3 linked regions of the Oryctolagus cuniculus genome follow. The protein of the gene in region 1 binds, or shares a complex with, the protein of each later gene. Links are inferred from orthologs where the notes say so. Each region holds a gene or a part of one and is shown on either strand. Other genes may lie near its edges.

Evidence for each region.
Region 2: TAF11 (region 1) and TAF8 share a complex: the UniProt entries of both Homo sapiens proteins name them as parts of the TFIID basal transcription factor complex. The link is inferred for Oryctolagus cuniculus from reciprocal best matches to the Homo sapiens genes TAF11 and TAF8.
Region 3: TAF11 (region 1) and TAF13 share a complex: the UniProt entries of both Homo sapiens proteins name them as parts of the TFIID basal transcription factor complex. The link is inferred for Oryctolagus cuniculus from reciprocal best matches to the Homo sapiens genes TAF11 and TAF13.

Annotation. Positions count from the first base shown.
Region 1 is NC_091436.1:134,548,946-134,555,100, reverse strand, and holds the start of TAF11 (transcription initiation factor TFIID subunit 11), read right to left. Parts: upstream 4,119-6,155; 5' UTR 4,010-4,118; coding exon 3,839-4,009; intron 1,369-3,838; coding exon 1,220-1,368; intron 1-1,219. Other genes in the region: ANKS1A (ankyrin repeat and SAM domain-containing protein 1A), read left to right, coding at 5,418-5,611. UniProt on the Homo sapiens protein: The TFIID basal transcription factor complex plays a major role in the initiation of RNA polymerase II (Pol II)-dependent transcription.
Region 2 is NC_091436.1:127,866,668-127,872,720, forward strand, and holds the start of TAF8 (transcription initiation factor TFIID subunit 8), read right to left. Parts: upstream 4,090-6,053; 5' UTR 4,072-4,089; coding exon 4,027-4,071; intron 3,260-4,026; coding exon 3,103-3,259; intron 1-3,102. UniProt on the Homo sapiens protein: The TFIID basal transcription factor complex plays a major role in the initiation of RNA polymerase II (Pol II)-dependent transcription.
Region 3 is NC_091438.1:61,354,916-61,360,986, reverse strand, and holds the start of TAF13 (transcription initiation factor TFIID subunit 13), read right to left. Parts: upstream 4,090-6,071; 5' UTR 3,990-4,089; coding exon 3,963-3,989; intron 3,113-3,962; coding exon 3,034-3,112; intron 1-3,033. UniProt on the Homo sapiens protein: The TFIID basal transcription factor complex plays a major role in the initiation of RNA polymerase II (Pol II)-dependent transcription.

The sequences.
Region 1 (6,155 bases):
CATGTGGGAAACCTGCAAGAAGCTTCTGGCTCCAGGTTAGGTCTGGCCCAGCCCTGCCTGTTGGGACCTTTTGGGGAGAGAATCAGCAGATGGACAGTCTATCTGTAAAAGAAAAAGAAAAAGAAAAAGAAAAGCCTTTGAAAATGTTCATATTGTTTGAACCAGCAATTATACTTCTAGGAGTTTATTGTAGGAAGTAATGGACAAATATGCAAACATGTGTCCAAGGACACCTCAAAATGTTGTAAAAGGAAAAGACTCAACCCGCATAGTTACAGGATTGGTTACATTCCAGCTGAGCCACATAATGGGACAAATGGCAGCTATTAAAAATGAAGATTCATGGGTGTATCTGCTGATAGGAAAATATTTAGCTGTATACACCAACCACTGTTGAAAATCTGAAAAAGTATATGCCCAATTTATTGTACCCAAACATATATACTTAGAGTAAATGCTGCGATAGCATTAATTTTTTCTATATTTATAATGAGCTAACACCACTTTTATAATCAGAAAATATAATAAAGCTATTTCCATTTTCACAAAAATTATGTCCTAGAGGTAGAACTGTTGATATGAGAAATGCCATATATAATAGGAAAAGCAGGTTATGAAATAGGACTTTTATTTTTAAAAAAGATTTATTTATTTATTTGAAAGGCAGAGAGATCTTCCATTTACTGGTTCACTCCCCAAATGGCCACAAGAGCCAGGTCTGGGCCAGGTGGAAGCCAGGCACCAAGAACTCCTTCCTGCTCTCCCACATGAGTGGCAGCGAGTCCAAGTACTCGGGGCATCTGCTGCCTTCCATTAGCAGGAGCTGGATGGGAGTGGAGCAGCCAGGACCCAAACTGACACTGCAGAATGGGATGCCAGAGTTGCAAGCAGCAGCTTAGGCCACTGTGTCACAATGCTGGCTCCAGTATTTGACATTTTGCAAAACAAAACAAAAACCTTGTAAAAACTTATTAATTTTATAAGTTATATGTGTAGAGAAAACACCTGGGATCATATACATTAAAGTATTGGCAGTATATACCTCTTGGTGGCAGGGCGATGAGTTTTCTTTTTACTTATTCACATTTTCTATACTATAACAATGTATTAATTAGTTTATTTCCTCTTGAGTTAGAAATGTAGAGGCCAAGACAAATTTATTAAATTTGTGTGGTCAGGCTGGAGCTCTGAAAAGGGGAAGGAACAAAAAGAGACTTACTGCATCTTCTGAATCTCATCTTCATCCACTTTCTGCTTCTTCTCTTTCTTTTCTTTGGTATCGATTTTCAGTTTTTTGGCTGCAGGAGTAAGTAATGACGCGTCTTCCCTTTCACCTGCTGTTAAATCGGAGACGTCCTGACTTTTGAGCTGGGAAGATGAAAAGAACTCTATTATATATTTGTCCTACTTTCCAGGCTTGGCTAAGGTTAAGACATCATCCTCATAACACAACAGATCCACTTATTGTGTAGTTTTTTTGTCCCAGAACTGACTGTTCCACCCAGTATAAGATACAGTATCTCTCCTCAAGGAAGGTTAGTTAGGCTGTAGAAAGAACCAGTTAAATAATCTAGTTTTCCAGTTTAGCTATGATCACAGCTTCAGTGTCTGTATACAAGGATAAAGAAATGGCCAAGATCATGAAAACCACTCTCTCCATGGACTCTCTCTCCTGCTCATTCCTTACAGGGGATGTCACCAAAGCCCTCTCCAGCCAGCCAGCTCTTCTCCTCTGGATCCAAAGATATTTTTACTATTGACGATTCAATTTAGAAAGATTATTAAAAAGGAGGCCCTGGAGTGAAAATCTGAGATGCTGGTTGGGATGTCCATGTCCCCTATTAGAGTGTCTGAGCTGTTTTGGGCATTTGGAGTGTGAATCAGCAGATAGGCCATTTTTTTTTTCTAATAAGTACATTCTTTGAAAATCAAAAATATGTAGGGGCCAATGCTGTGGCATAGTGGGTTAAGCTGCTGTCTGCAGCACTGGCATCTCATATGAGTGCCAGTTCAAGTCCTGGCTGCTCTACTTCTGATCCAGCTCCCTGCTAATGTGCTTGGGAAAGCAGCAGAAGATGGCCCAAAGATGGCCCAAGTCCTTGGGCCCCTGCACCCATGTGGGAGACCTGGAAGAAGCTACTGACTCCTGGCTTCAGCCTGGCCCAGCTCTAGCCACTGTGACCATTTGGGGGAATGAACAGGCAGATGGAAGCTTGCTCACTCCCCACCCCCCACCCCCAACTTTGTGATTCTGACTTAAAGAATATTAATAAATATTTTACATACTTACATGCATTATGTTACATATTTAAAGCTAATCCACAGTGCTGGCCCCAACATAATCAATTTTTATCGAAAGGCAGAGTTACAGAGAGAGGGAGAGACAGAGTTCTTCCATCTGCTAGTTCACTCCCCAATTGGTCACAACCACCAGGGCTGGGCCAGGTGGAAGCCAGAAGTCCTACATGGGTGCAGGTGCTCAACTTGGGCCACCTTCAGCTGCCTTCCCAGGCACATCAGCAAGGGCCTAGACTGGAAGCGGAGCAGCCAGAACTGAACCAGTGCCCATATGGGATTCTGGGGTTGCAGGTAGCTTAACCTGCTGTGCCACAATGCTGGTCTTTGATTAATTTTTTTTTTTTTTTTTTTTTTTTTTTTTTTTTACAGGCAGAGTGGACAGTGAGAGAGAGAGAGACAGAGAGAAAGGTCTTCCTTTGCCGTTGGTTCACCCTCCAATGGCCGCCGCGGCCGGCGCGCTGCAGCCGGCGCACCGCGCTGATCCGATGGCAGGAGCCAGGTGCTTCTCCTGGTCTCCCATGGGGTGCAGGGCCCAAGGACTTGGGCCATCCTCCACTGCACTCCCTGGCCACAGCAGAGGGCTGGCCTGGAAGAGGGGCAACCGGGACAGAATCTGGCGCCCTGACTGGGACTAGAACCCGGTGTGCCGGCGCCGCAAGGCGGAGGATTAGCCTAGTGAGCCGCGGCGCCGGCCTAATTTTTAAAAATGTTTCAAAAGCATCATAATTCTATCCTCTGCTGGCTCCAAACTTCTATATTGTAGTGAGCTCCTTTAGTGGACCATGCTAATTATTCAATTCCTTTGCGTCCTTGAGACCCATTTTAACTTTTCCTTCTTCAGCTTTGTCAACTGTCTTCTCTTTTTCTAAAAGCTTACCGTGTATGTTTTGGTGACAAGGCTATCCATCTAACGTTCAGTCCATGAGCTCTTCAGTTCCTTCTGCCTCTAAGATCCTAGAAATTCTCTCTTTAGAAAAGGAACCCACAGGACGCTGAGATTCTGGTCGCGATTGTTGCGCGGTTAGGCAACCCTGCTGAGCTATCCTGAGAGCACAGCTGATGGATTTGGTGTTTTTACGTTATAGAAACCCCTGGACATTAGCACGGAGGACACTGCAGCAGCTGGATGAGAATATGACTTCAAAGTCTCCCGTTAACAGATCTGATCAACTCTGCCTCCTGTAAAGACGAAAGCTGTACTTAAACAACAATTAACTAAGAGGACCTATAGTGCGGTGAAAGGCGCGCTGGGAATCCTGGATTTTGGCTCTTGCACTAAGTCTCGGGATGACAGTACCGACTTCATCAATAGGAAAACCAAGAAGCTATTTAAAATTCACTTAGATGTAGCTTTAATCCCGAAAGGCAAGGACTAAACATATTAAAACCTAATGCTCGAGTCTCTGGAACCAAACCAGCACCACAGTTTTGTTGCTCCTCCCACACTCCCCGGACGGCAGATCTAGAGGGAATCGTGGCGAGCTCCGGGTAACACAATCCCGGCGTATGCCTCCAACCTCAGTCACACTTCTCTGCCTACCTCGCCTTCCTCCGCTGCCGCTTCTTTCAAGTCCGCGTCTCCGTCTCCGTCCGCTTCCTCCGGGATCCCGTCCGTGTCCGCAGTCCCCGGGCCCCCAGGAGCAGCAGTCGTCTCGTCTGACTCCCCTGCTTCCCCACCTTTGTCCGCAGGAGACTCGCGGGCATTGTCCATCACAGCTAGAACGGCAAGGGGAGGAGATCGCGGTGCTGTCGGCCGCGGAGCTCCGGACCTCGCGCGGCACAGTGGGCGCTTACTTCCTGTCGTCGCACCGCGATGTCGTCACCACTACTGGTCCTCGGAAGGGCCATGGGGGGCGCGCGGAGCACCTGAGGGCTCCGTTTGAATCCTGGGTGGGTGGTGCTGGAGAGAGAACGCTGAGGGTGCAAAGTCCCCTGTGGATCCGTCCTTGGAGACCAGCACCTGTGAAGAAGTGCAGTTGTGCTTCCTGAAGGGTTTCTTTTTCCTTTCCGTCGTTCTAAGAATGCTTTGTCAGTTAACCTCTTCCTCAAAGTTGGAGGACCTGGGAGAAAACTGCTCCTTTTGTACGCGGCTGTCGCGTAACCTTGGGGTAGCAAACTTTCAGGCAGGGACTCAACCTCCTTTATTTCACCTGGACAGACTGCGGGCCTGACTTTACATTGAATTGCCACCATTTCCCCTCTACGAATATTTCACGAGCACCTTAAAAAAAAAAAGTCCTATTGCTTGAGCAGTGTTTATCCAACCCATTCATTCACTCCACGAGTGTTGACTGCCTGTTTCTGAGTCCGGAGCAGCGCTAGTACAGGGAAAAAACATTTTCTACCGAATTAAATGATTTTTCCAGTTCGCCAGTGCTGAAAATCGGGATAGGTTTCTCAAGCCTGACTTCTGTTACCCACTCAGTCTCATCATGAGGAATCCCTACAGGGTGGGAGGTCTCTCCTTTGAGCGCTTCACTTTAATGAGCCATTTCACGGATTGGGATGGTGAAGGGGCTAGGATATTTCTGCTTTTAAAATGTCCTGCCTTTTTTCATTGAGGCACGCGGAGGGAGGGGCAGGGCGTTTTATTCACCTCTGTATTACCAGGCTCCCGCACCTGTTACATACTGCTTTATGCTTAAAGAACGGACTTGGAAATGTAGGTGCGTATTACCATATTTCTCTCTTTGTTTCCACACCGCCGGGACGAATTACCGTATTTCCTGTCCCGTGAGCTCCCAAAACCTTTGGAAAAGAAGCGCACTTTGGAGGCGTACACAGGTGGGTCCCCTTTGTCCCTTTCCACTTCTTCAATGGGTACCCACATGGCACTGCCCCATTGACCCCCAAGTCCTGTCCTGACACACCAAGGTCCACCTGCACAGGGACGCGGAGCCCCGCCCAGCTAGGTGGGCAAGGGGGCGGGGCATGGGGGCGCGGTGACGCGTGACGCCGGATCCCGGAAGTGACGCGCTCGTGGGGAAAAGGCGGGGGGGGAGGGGGGTGGTGTCCCCGGCCGGTTTAGGGGGTGCGTTGCCCGGAGACGGAAAGTTTGGGAGCCGAGCCGGCTCCACGGTGGCCCCGGGGTGGGGGGTCCTGGGGTGGCGGCCCTGGGGATGGGGAAGGAGCAGGAGCTGCTGGAGGCGGCCCGCACCGGGCACCTCCCGGCCGTGGAGAAGCTGCTGTCCGGGAAGCGGCTCTCCTCAGGCTTCGGGGGTGGCGGCGGCGGCTCCTCTGGGGGCAGTGGCGGCGGCGGCGGCGGCGGCGGCGGCCTCGGCTCTTCCAGCCACCCTCTCTCCAGTCTGCTCAGGTGGGTACGCGCCGGGGCCCGGCAGCCGCCTGGAGACCCCCCCCCCGCCCGCCCGTACGTCTTTTAGGTCCCTGGAGAGGTCGGGCTCCCGAGACCCGGCGGGGTGGGCTCGCGGCGTACTCGGGGAGCGAGGGCAGGCGGCCGGCGGGACAGGAAGCCGGAGGGGGCGCGGGTCCGAGTTGGCGCGGCGCTCCGCTCTCCTTGTCTCTCGGTCCTGACCCGGGTGCGAAGAATGGTGGGAGTGCCCAGGTGGCCGCTCCGCCGCATGGCACAGCCCGGCGTCACCCTCGCCCGCTGTGGGATGCCAGCTGTCGTTGCTTCACAAAAGCCACTTGAGAGCAAATGATCTGTGTGTGTGTATGGGACCTCCCTCACCTCCTGCAGAAGCTCCCACGGCTTGCAGAATGCCGCGGCTCTGCTGGAGGGGATTCCCTTCCCGCAGGAGCCTGCAGCCTTCCGCCAGGCTGTGCAGAACCTGGCTTCTGTTTATATCAGAATTGTCTCTGGATCGGTCACGTTCGGAGAGTTCGTCTTGGAGCCCCTC
Region 2 (6,053 bases), about 6.7 Mb from region 1:
CATGGAATTGTACATTTAAAAATGGAAGGAGGGATTCATTTTGTTATGCAGAGCTTACTCCCCTCTAAAGATCTTATACTACGGGGGCCACTTTTTGTTTCTTCTGCTGAAAGCGGAACCTCTAGTTCACAGTCATGCTGAAGTCCTCCGGGGCACGGTGGAAGGTGCCTAAGACACAGCTTAGGGAGTTGGGCCGCGTGGATGGGCTTTGGAGGTGGCTGGGAAGTGCCATGAACATCCTGACTCAGGATGAATTCATTTATTTTTTTAAAGGTTTTATTTAATTATTTGAAAGGCAGAGTTACAGAGAGAGAGAGGGAAAAGAGAGAGGGAGAGAGTGAGAGAAAGAGAGGGAGAGAAATTTAACCACTGGTTCACTCCCCAGATGGGCACAATGGCCGGGGCCGGCTCATGGCCAAAGCTAGGAGCCAGGAGCTTCTTCCAGGTCTCCCACGTAGGCGAAAGGGCTGAAGCACTTGGGCCACCCTCCGCTGCTTTCCCAGGTGCATTAGTGGAGAGCTGGATCAGAAGTGGAGCAGCCAGGAATTGAACATGTACCCAAATGGGATACCAGCACTGCAGGCAGCCTACCCAGCTATGCCACAGCACTGGCCCCACAGCGCTGAATTCAATGCACAGGAAAAGTCTCTCTCTGGGGACGAGCGCACAGGTTTCATTCAGAGAAGAAATGGATCCCAAAAGATAAGGAGACCCTGTCCCAGGGACCCAGCTGCTCATAAGATAAAAGCATTAGAAGCACAAAGTCTACCTGAAACCTATCCCAACTGCTGCCGCCTGAGCCAGTCACTGACACCAGTCTCTAGACAGAACCTTCACACTCTCAATTCCAAGATCTTCTCAAGAACGGAATTCTTTTTTTGGTTGGGAATTATTAGTTCATTTTTGGGGGCCAAAGTTGTCAAAGTGCAGTCCGGAAACCCCTGGCAGTCTCCCAAATCTTTTCCAGAGTCTACAGGTCAAAATGGTTACTTTTTAAAAGATTTATTTATTTAGTTGAAAGTCAGAGTTACAGAGAGAGAGAAAGTGAGGCAGAGAGAGAGAGAGAGAGAGAGAGATCGATCTTCCATCTGCTGGTTCACTCTCCAGATGGCTGCAATGGCTGGAGCTGTGCCAATCTGAAGCCAGGAGCTTCTTCCAGGTCTCCCACATGGGTTCAGGGGCCCAAGGACTTGGGCCATCTTCTACTGCTTCCCCAGGCCAGGCAGAGAGCTGGATTGGAAGTGGAGCAGGCGGGACTTCAACCAGCGCCCATATGGAATGCTGCATTGTAGGCGGTGGTTTTACCCGCTATGCCACAGCACCAGCCCCTACAAGTCAAAATTATTTTCTTAACAAAATTAAGTCATTATTTGACTTTTTTACTGTCATTCTCTCATGTACTTTTCCAGGGTTATATGACTTCGGATGACATCACCACTCTGATGAATAACGGAATGTGTGACTGTATATCCTTACATTTTAGAATTTTATTTTCAAATCTGGCAAATATAGGCACATGCTATATATACCTAAGTATTATGCATATGTATAGCATATGTATAACATATTTTGTACACATATAAAAGCTCTTGGGGATCCTCAATATTTGAGTCTGAAAGTGGTTCTGAGACCAAGAAGTGTGAGGTCACAGGTTTAGGAAAACATCTGGTATTAGAAGTTCAAGGGGCAGGCGTGTGGCACAGTGGTTAAGATGCCAGTTGGGATGCCCACAAGCACACACTGGAGTGCCGGGGTTCCAAGTCCTGGCTCTGCTCCCAGTTTCAGCCTCCTGCCAACACACACTCTGGGAGGCGGCGAGTGAGGGCTCTGGAACTCGGCTCACTGCCACTCATGCGAAAGGCCTGGGCGGAGTCCCTGGCTCCTGGGTTCAGCCTGGCCCAGCCCTGGCAGTGGTGGGCATTTGGAGAGTGAACCAGCAGTTGAGAGATCTCTGTCTGTCTCCCTCTCTGCCTTTTAAATAAATAAATATATTTAAAAGTAATATTAAAAAAAAGTTTCTAAAATCAGCTGCAGAAAGTGGCTCCACCCAGGGTCACACCCTACTCAGGGCAGCACACATCTGGGTCTGATCGAGACCTGGGCACAAAGGCGGGGCCTTTTCTCCTTGGCAGACGACAGCCGCTCCAAGGACGCCCACCTGTTGGCCAGCTCTTTGTTGGGTCTGCACTGCACTTCAGTTCTTCTACTTCTTTTCACAGGTGCTGGTCCCTAAGAAATACTGTAGGAATCCCCCAACACCCCTTGTCCAATTCTAGCCCCTAAGAAATTTTAAACAGGCCACAACAGGCTCCTAAGGCTCAGCAATCCCTTAAAAGTTGTTTTTCAGGGCCAGAGTGCTGTGGCGTAGCGGGTAAAGCCGCTGCCTGTAGTGCCGGCGTCCCATATGCGCACCAGTTTGAGTCTCAGCTGCTCCACTTCCAATCCAGCTCTCAGTTATGATCTGGGAAAGCAGAAGATGGCCCAAGTCCCTGGGCCCCTGCACCTGCATGGGAGACCTGGAAGAAGCTCCTGGCTCCTGGCTTCGTATCAGCCCAGCTCTGGCCATTGCAGACATCTGGAGAGTGAACCAGCAGATGGAAGACCTCTCTCTCTGCCTCTGCCTCTCTGTAACTCTGCCATGCAAATAAATAAATAAATCTTTTTTTTTCTTAATAAAAAGTTGTTTTTCCCTATTCTAGTCAACATACCCTCATTCTATCACATAATACAGCACCTCCTTACTAATGTACTAGCATCTATTCCAGGGCGTTAGTCCTGACACTCCCCCCACCCCACGAAGGTGTGAGTCCTCCCAGAAGAGAGAGCAAAACAGCAATAATGAGGGCTCCAAGTCCTCGACAGCGTGCAGCCCCCCAGCTTTGACTGCCGTACTCACAACCCCGCGCGCCTCAATTACTACCCCACTCCACAAAGGAGGGCGTTGAGGTTCAAGAGGGTGAGCGAGCTGCTGGCGCTACGCAGTGGCAGGGGGACGATTTCCAGCCCGGGCTGCGTGGCTGGAAAGCCTGAAGTCTCTCCCCTCCGCCGCCGTCACAACGCAGGGCGCAGAAGGGACGGGGCCCGCCGCTGCCCGGTACTCACAGCTCTGCAGCATCTCCGTCAGGGTTTCCACGGACGCCTTCTCTGCGCTCTCAAACCCGGCCTCCGTCAGCAGAGAGCTCACGACCACCTGCAGGGTTCTCCTCCGGGCCAGGTGGTAGTTGTCGGCAGGGTTGGTGGACTGTTTGCTCCCCGACCTCTGGGAACCGGCAGGGAGAGCAGTGTCACCCCCGGGACAAGAGGGCAGCGAGCAGTCCCCGGATCGTTCACGGCAAGCGCGCGTCCCGTGCTAAACACCAGCGCTGCGACCTGCAAATCTTGGCCGACCGAGCGAAAACCGAGCCGGAGGGCCCCTCCCAGAGACCATCGGCATCCCCCAAACCTAAGGCGCTATAATGCAAAATGGCTGGGGTTTCCTGTTCTGTGTGTTTCTTGTTTTTCCCACACTCTCTACTCCCGCACATTATCAGCACAGCGGAAGAAACACTCGTGACGGGACTCAATTAAACCTAGCTCCCGGGAGAAAAGTAAACGGGGTCTCTATCGTTCGTCATCCCACTTCCACACCGTTTCATTAGCAAGGAGAATTAAAGCAATAACATCACACGGAGCCGAGGAGAGGGCGAAAGACCACAGCACGCCTTGGTAGGGAAGCTCAATATTTTGAAGCAGGAATCCCGCCCAGCTCTGCCTGGCCAATGAAGAGGCGAAACAGTCCTCTCTGGACCAATCAGGAGATGTTCCGGGTTCCCAACCGAGCAAACCAATCAGGACACAGGTTCACCAACTCAGGAGGCCGCCGCCAAGTCCCTCAGAGGGGTGGGCGCGCACAGCCTGAGGGGCCCTCCTCCGGTCGCAGCCCACGCTGGGGCGGGATAGCTGGGCATAAGCCTGCTGCCCAGGCCAGGGGAAAGTTGCAGAGTACCCCAACTCTCTCAGCGCCGGGCCCGCGCTTCTACCCCTTACCGTTCCGGAGCCGCCAGCCCCGGCAGCGGCCGCCGTGTCGGCCATCTTGCCCTGGCGTAACGTGCGTGAGCGCGGGGCGCGATGGGACTTGTAGTCACGGGGCGGGGGTGGGCGGGGCGCGCGCACGCTCCTCCCGGTTTTCCGAAGCCTCGCTGGGTGGGGGTGCGCACGTGACCATTTGTATGCGAAGTGTGTGGGCTTGGGGGGGGGGTGCGAAAATGCTATCTTGGTTTACGCGAATTAAAATAAGCCTGTTTTAATAGTGAATCGTTTCTGATGAGGAAGGATCCAGGAGGTAGTCTACACTGGCAGGGTTTCTCCAAACGTCTCTGGTTATTAGCCACACCTGGCTGGGCCCAGCGCGGTCCTAGTGACCCCACCGTGGGAAAGGGGCTTGGGGATTTGGTTACCAAGCTCCCTGGGTCCTCTTGGGAAACCCTGGGGCATCTGATCTCGTGATTTTGTGCGGCCGTCCGTGGACCCCTTGGGGATGGGCGTGCCTGCTCCGGGCCTGCCTCAGTCCTCGAGCGTCGCGTCCGCGTGGCCGCCGAGGGTCTTGGGGGGGGGGTGTGTGTCGAGGGTCCACGCCGCGCCTGCGCCTTGGCAGGGCACGGACGCTGGGCTTGGGTCCCAGCCCTCGGCGGCTGCAGGAGTTTGGGCACAATACCTAACCGCTCTGTGCGTCAGTCTCCTTTTCTGTGAATCTGGGGGTGGAGGGGTGCTGACGGCCGAGGGGACAACCAGGTAACGACGGCAGGGGACTGTCCCGGTGCCCGACGTGCAGCCAGTTGCCCCACTGTGTGGTGGGCTTCCTGGGTCGCGCGCGCTGGCGGGCCCCGCTAGGCGCCTGCTGGCCGTGCGCACCTGAGCCCGCCGGGGCCCCGTCCCCTACCTAGGGCGCGCGGGGCGGGGCCGGCGGGGGTCGGCACCCGGGCTGCGCGGAGCCGCGCCCCAGCCCCTTTGTCTCCCCCGCCCCCTCTTCCCCACTTCCTGCCCAGCTTCAAACTCGGGATCCGCCGACTTTGTAAACACGCCGCGGTCGCGGGGGCGGAGCCTGGGTCTGTTTGGGCGCCTGGGGACGGGGTGCGCTGCCTCGCCGCGGCTGCGGGCTGCGACCACCCCCACCCCAGCCCCCCGCCACTTCCCGAAGACCGAGGCCAGAGGCGGCGGGGGAGCGCGTGTGCGGCCACCCCGGGTGCTCCGCGGGACTCACCTGCCCACGAGGTAGGCTTGGGGGCTGGCGCAGCGGGGAGAGGCGATGTGGGCATCACCCCCTGGCCCTGGGGCTTCGCGGTTCACGCTAGATATCCTGAGCGGCCGGGGGGGGGGGTCGCCAGAGGTTGGGTTGGGGGTCTCCGCGCCGTCAGCACCTCCCTGGCGGCCCCTCAGCCGGGCCCCTTTGCGCTCCCAGGACGCGCGCGCCGCTTCGCGTGTACTCGAAGGGCGGAGAAGCCCTTGCGCCTCTGCGCTCACCGCCGCCCCCTTAAGCGGACCTGGGAGCGAGGGCGCTTCCCTGGGCTGTTCCCGTTCTTCCTACCCCAGAGCGGGGCGCGAGAGACCGAGGCCGGGGGAGGCCACTGTTTGTCCCGCCGTCGCCTCTGATGGGTGCACAGGGGAGAGTTTGCGCGTCGGCGGTGTGTCTGAGTGTTAACCCGAGGAGTCACCGCAGAAGCCGGTGTAAGGCAGGGGGCACGGAGGGGCCGAGCGTGGGCCGTGCGCCGGCTCTGTGTGGGGTGCCGAGAGTGCGGGAGTGCGCATCCACAGCCACAGCACAGCCCGGGGACGTGCCCAGGGCGGCGCGAAGCGTCAGGGAGAAAGGGAGCTTTGAGCTGGATTCGGAAGGAAGGATGGACAGATCGCTGGGTAGGGACGTTAGTGGGAAGACTGGGGGCACTGCTCATCCCACAGAACTGGACTGCACTCCGCTGTGGGCTACGTGGTGACCCAGCAGCAACTGCTCTCTCTAGCGCACTGCCCAGGTATGAAGAGGAGGTGGGGATGAATTCGAGGAAAGGCAGATGTCTGGG
Region 3 (6,071 bases), on another chromosome or scaffold:
ACTGATGATCTCTATCTCTCTGCCTTTCAAATAAAAATGAAAAATAAATTAAAAATAATCTTTTTTTCCTGGGATCAGTATGTGGTACAGTGGGTTAAGGCACCACTTGTAATGCCAGCATCCTAGATCAGGGTGCTGGTTTGAGTCCCGGCTATTTCACTTCCAATCCAGCATCCTGCTAATGCACATGGGAAGACAGCAAAGATGGCCCATATACTTGGGTTCCTGCCAACCACGTGGGACACCAGGATGGAATTCGTGGCTCCTGGATTTGGTCTGGGGCAGACCTGTCTGTTGCTGCCATTTGAAGAGTGAACCAGCAGATGCTGGTTCTTTCTCTCTTTGTCATTCTGACTTTCAAATAAATAAGTAAATAAATCTCACTTTAAAAATTATTTTCTTTAAAAAGAGGAGTGCGGAATCTTTTCTCTGTGAAGAGCCATTTGGATATTTATAACATCATTTGCAGGCCATAAAAACTATCAACTTAGAAATTAGCCTGCTACAATTTGCTGAATCTTTATATATAGGTAGATTGAATTTTGAGTCCTGCCTGTGGTTGTCTTGGCCAGGCCACACCAAAAGATGTCACACACCTGGACATTTCCCACCTCTGGTGGCAAACAGATCTCAGTAAGATATATGAAGACTCATAAGACATGGAGAAGAGTATGAAAATTCCAAATTCTTGTCATCATAAAGATAAAGTAATCCAAGTATAACAAAGGTCTTTGCTAATAACCAACTGTGCAAGCATCACTTCGAGATACTCTGGAGTAGTGATCTCTTTCTTACGTTGGTAAAGTAAGTAAAATGTAATACAAATGTAATAAATATTATCAGAGAGATGGGATAAGCAATGTTCAGCTTTAGGTGAGATACAGAAAAAGGTTACAATTAAAAAGAAATATGGCGGTAGACTGGCACTATGGCACAGTAGGTTAAACCACTGCTTGCAGTGCCACCATCCCATATGGGCACCAGTTCGAGACTCGGTTGCTCCACTTCCAATCCAGCTCCCTGCTAATGACCTGGGAAAGTAAAGAAAGACGATCCAAATGCTTGGGCCCCCACAACCATGTGGGAGACCCAAAAGAATTTCTAGGCTCCTGGCTTCAGACCTGCCAGTTCCAGCTGTTCTGGCCATTTGGGGAGTTAACCAGTGGATGGAAGATTCTCTCTCTCTCTAACCCAGCATTTCAAATAAATGTTAAAAAAAAAAAAAAAAAACATGGTGTGGGTATTGTGGCGTGGCAGGTTGGGCCCAGTTTGGGACACCCACAACCCTTGGCTGACATTCCACATCAGAGTGCTTGTTTGACTCCCATCTACTCTACTTCGAATCCAGCTTCCTGCTGCTGTGATTCTGGAAGGCAGCAGGTGATGGCTCAGGTACTGTGGCCACTGCCACCCATGTAAGAGACCCAAATGGCATTCTGGGCAACTGGCATCCGCCTGGCCTAGCCAAGCCTCAGCTGTTGTGGGCATGAGCGAACCATCAGATGGAAGATCTCTGTCTTTTTCTGTCACTCTGCCTTTCAAATAAATTTCAAATAAAAAAGACATACTGATGTGCAGTTTTAACATCACATGTAAACTGCTCGTATCTGTCCCAACCTTAATAAACAGGTATTCTTAAATCTGTGTTGTCTCATCTCTCAATACCCAGCTATATAGATATAAAGGAATCCGTACTGGGAGATAAAAAGCTATTCTCATGATGACTTTTAAATGTTGTCCTGGACTATCAGCAGTAGGAACAGATCTCCTTTCTTCATGCTGCTGTCTAAAAAGGGTAAAATCTGTCTACTGAGGGAGTGGGACAAAGCACTAACACATTATATTATCTTCATGCCATTGTATGTCTCACATTGTTCCTCACCTTCCTGCCCTGTTCACTGCCCTTAGTCCAAAGTCTCAACTTAGCCCCTACCCTCAGCACCTGTTTCAGTGCCCACAGTCAAAAGAACTCCTGCTTCTACTGTTGCAAAGGTAAGGGCCAGGAAAACGTGGAGGTATATTGTTTTGTCCTGAATTGAAACACTGATCATATTTGTTAGGAAACTGGTGCAGTTTTATCCATGGCGCTATCTACACCATGATTTACATCCTATGCCCCGGTTCTCACAGCCATTGCTGAAAGCCATGTAGCCACATGGCCCAACCACCAGTGTCAAGCTCCACCCCCATCCTAACGGGATTCGCTGCTCCTGTTTCCCTGCCCGCCCTCTGGCAAAGTTTAAAAGGGCCTGTTCCTGAACAGGCGGCACTCTTGGCTCTTCTCTCCTGTTCTCTTGGCTCCTCTCGTCTCTCTTCTCTCCTCACTAGCTCCTCTACTCTCCGTGTCTCTTTCTCTTATACTCTCCTCTCCCTTTTTCCCTTCATCACCTCACCCTTCCGGTCTGCTGGCTTTTCTCAATAAACCCTTTCCCTTACTCCGGAGTTTGGTGTGTTTTTGTGACAGCCTAACAGAAAGACATAACAATATTCCCTCACTTAAATTCTGTACAATTTAAAACACAATTATACGTTAAACTGGGGTTAGTATCTGTGATTCAAAAATTAAACTGAGGGGCTGGTGCTGTGGCGCAGCAGGTTAAAGCTCAGGCCTGAAGCGCTGGCATCCCATATGGGCACCGGTTCTAGTCCTGGCTGCTCCTCTTCCGATCCAGCTCTCTGCTATGGCCTGGGAAAGTAGTAGAAGATGGCACAAGTCCTTGGGCCCCTGCACCCGCATGGAAGAAGCTCCTGGCTCCTGGCTTCGGATCGGCACAGCTCCAGCCATTGCGGCCATCTGGGGAGTGAACCACAGGATGGAAGACCTACCTCTCTCTCTGACTCTGCCTCACTCTGTAACTCTTTCAAATAAAATAAAAATAAATCTTTTAAAAAAAGGCAAAAATTAAATTGAACTTTACTGGCAATTTTGAGAATATTATCCTTGCAAACATTTTCAGAATATAAATCTATTCCAAAGGACATGTCCAAAAGTTTGCATGATCTATAATAAAATCACTGTCAAATACTACTTACATTCTTTAGAAAAGAGTCTCTTTCTTTTACCCTGTCCACCTTCTGCACCTCCTCCAATTTCTTCATTTTCTTCCTCAAACTAGAAGTTAAAATGTATATATAGAAATGTCAAGTGATTGCATTGCATTTGATATTTTAATAACTTGCTTTCATTTTTAACACTAATATCAGGCCAAAACGCTTAAAAGCAAGCACTAAAAAATCATGATAACTTAGCACTAAAGAGCCCTTAGAGACTACCTAGTCAAAATTTCAATTCCCGCAAAAATGGTTTCTACACTGTCCACAACAATCCTGCCTAGACACGTAAGCCTTTTAACAGCCGCAAGTTCTTTTTGTTTAAAACCAACTAAGTTGGTCTACTGCTAGCCAGTGTTGCCATTCAAGGACCGATACTGAATCAAAGCCTACCTCCCTGCAGCAAAAAAGGAAAAATTTTAACTAAGCACCTGCTTATACAGTGCTAAAACCTTTCCTTATCTGTTTTAACCTTATTTTATATCAAGAACAACCGATGCTGAAAGTTAAATAACTTGTTCGGTGAGAATGGAGATTTTGAAATCCAGGCTTCTGATTTGTGGTCCGTTATTTCTCCAACACTTCACAATAAATATCCAATTCTGTTAGCAGCTAGATTGTTGGTTCATTTAACGAGCACCAACAAATACGAGTGATTAGCTCTGACGATCGTCTAGTTTCACAAAGTGTCTAGCAGATTCAGCCCGAATCCGAAGGGAAAGGGGCTACCTTCCCACTACTTCACGTCCTGCCCCGGAGTACTAAAACCATGAAGCTGAAGGAAAAGACAAGCACAACTGGTCCCCGAACTCTCTCGACTGAATTCACTAAGGAAAACACCCCATTCTGAACTCTGCTTCCGTCACTAAGCCTGAGCGAAAGGGAGGATTGGGACAAAGGCGGTCACTCACGGTGGGATCTTCTTCCTCATCTGCCATTACACTAGCCCGACAACCTACTGTGCCGCGCCGGCTCGCTCTCAGCGGGTTTTTACTACTTCCGTTGCGTCACTTCCGGTGACGTAGGGGGCGGGGCCGGGTCCCCGCAAACACGCCTGGGAGGGGGAGCTGCCTAGCGACCGCTGAGAGAGACGGTCTGTAGGGTAGCAGCGTGAGCTCTGGGTTCTGTAATCCCGAGGAAGGAACTAAAATTTAGCAAACTGAAAGAAATGCACCAGGCAGTGTGTATCCTCTTATCACCCTACATCTCCTTGTGCGTGTTGAATCCACCTTTCCTGACCTGGAGCGTAGGAGGGCGATCCCGCGGTCTTGCTCTGAGGGGTGTATTTTAAAGTGCAATGAGTTACGCCTGCACTATTGATCCCAAGCACTTTGTTAATTATTGTGGGGTACTATATTTCACTACTAGTTCTCAAGGGGGCGCTATCCTTAGAGACGATTTAAAATTTTCTGGAGAAGAATTTGGGTTTTAACAATGAGAACACGCAGTAAGAGGCTGGAGTTGACATAAAATATCCTGCAACCTAAGGGATGATGCCACACGATAAAAAAGTCCAATAATACACACGATTTCTCTATGTCCTGCTGAACATTCAATGACTGAAAATATTATTTTATATAAACTATTTTTCCCATGCTTTTAATGAACATTGGATTTCCTGTGACTGTTACTTCTTCAAAATTGGTGATCTGTTGCATTTTGCTTTGTTTGGAACTTATTAAGAGGAAATACTGCCACCAAAGGCAATATCGCTTGTAATTTAAATAGTGCTCACCTGGAATCTGCCTACATTTGTAGTTCCTACATTCGAGGTAAATTTACATCTAGGTACAAGCAACCACATTGTTATTATACCTCCTGTGTTGTCATGCCTGAGAATTTACGTGTTAAAAACATATTAATAGGCCGGCGCCGCGGCTCACTAGGCTAATCCTCCGCCTTGCGGCGCCGGCACACCGGGTTCTAGTCCCGGTCGGGGCGCCGGATTCTGTCCCGGTTGCCCCTCTTCCAGGCCAGCTCTCTGCTGTGGCCAGGGAGTGCAGTGGAGGATGGCCCAGGTGCTTGGGCCCTGCACCCCATGGGAGACCAGGAAAAGCACCTGGCTCCTGGCTCCTGCCATCGGACCGGTGCGGTGCGCCGGTCGCAGCGCGCCGGCCGCGGCGGCCATTGGAGGGTGAACCAACGGCAAAGGAAGACCTTTCTCTCTGTCTCTCTCTCTCACTGTCCACTCTGCCTGTCAAAAAAATAAATAAATAAAATAAAAAAAATAAAAAAAACATATTAATAGATTCTTTTATATTTATTTCTTATTTGGGCATTTTTTGATAAGTTCTCATTTTAGTTTCAGGATTTAACAATTTTCAGCATTTTGCCACATTGTATTTTTTAAAGATTTATTTATTTATTTGAAAGGCAGAGAAAGAGAGAGAGAGGTTTCCCCAAATGGCCGCAATGGCAGGAGCTGAGCCAATCTGAAGCCAGGAGCCAGGAGCTGCTTCTGGATCTCCCAAATGGGTGCAGGGGCCCAAGCACTTGGGCCATCTGCTGTTTTCCCAGGCACATTAGCAAGGAGTTGGTTCGGAAGTGCAGCAACTGGGAGCCTATATGAGATGCCTGCACTGCAAGGAGGTAACTTTACCCACTATGCCACAGCACCAGAACCAACCTTGTATTTTTTTTTTTTTTTTAAGATTTAATTTGATTGGGCAGGCACTTAGCCAGTAGGCTAAGCCTCCGTCTGTGGCACCAGAATCCCATATGGGCGCTGGTTCATGTCCAGCTGCTCCTTTTCCAATCCAGCTCTCTGCTTACAGCTTGGAAAGGCAATGACGTAGGGCCCAAGTGTTTGGGTCCTGCACCGGTGTGGGAGACCCAGAAGAAGCTCCTGGCTCATGGCCTCAGAATGACTCAGCTCTGGTTGTTGTGGCTATTTAGAGGGTGAACCAGCACTTTGTCTCTCTCTCTTTCTCTAGCCCTACCTTTAAAAGAAAAAAAAAAAAGATTTATTTATTTATTTATTTATTTGAAAATCCGAGTCACAGAGAAAAAGAGGAGAGATA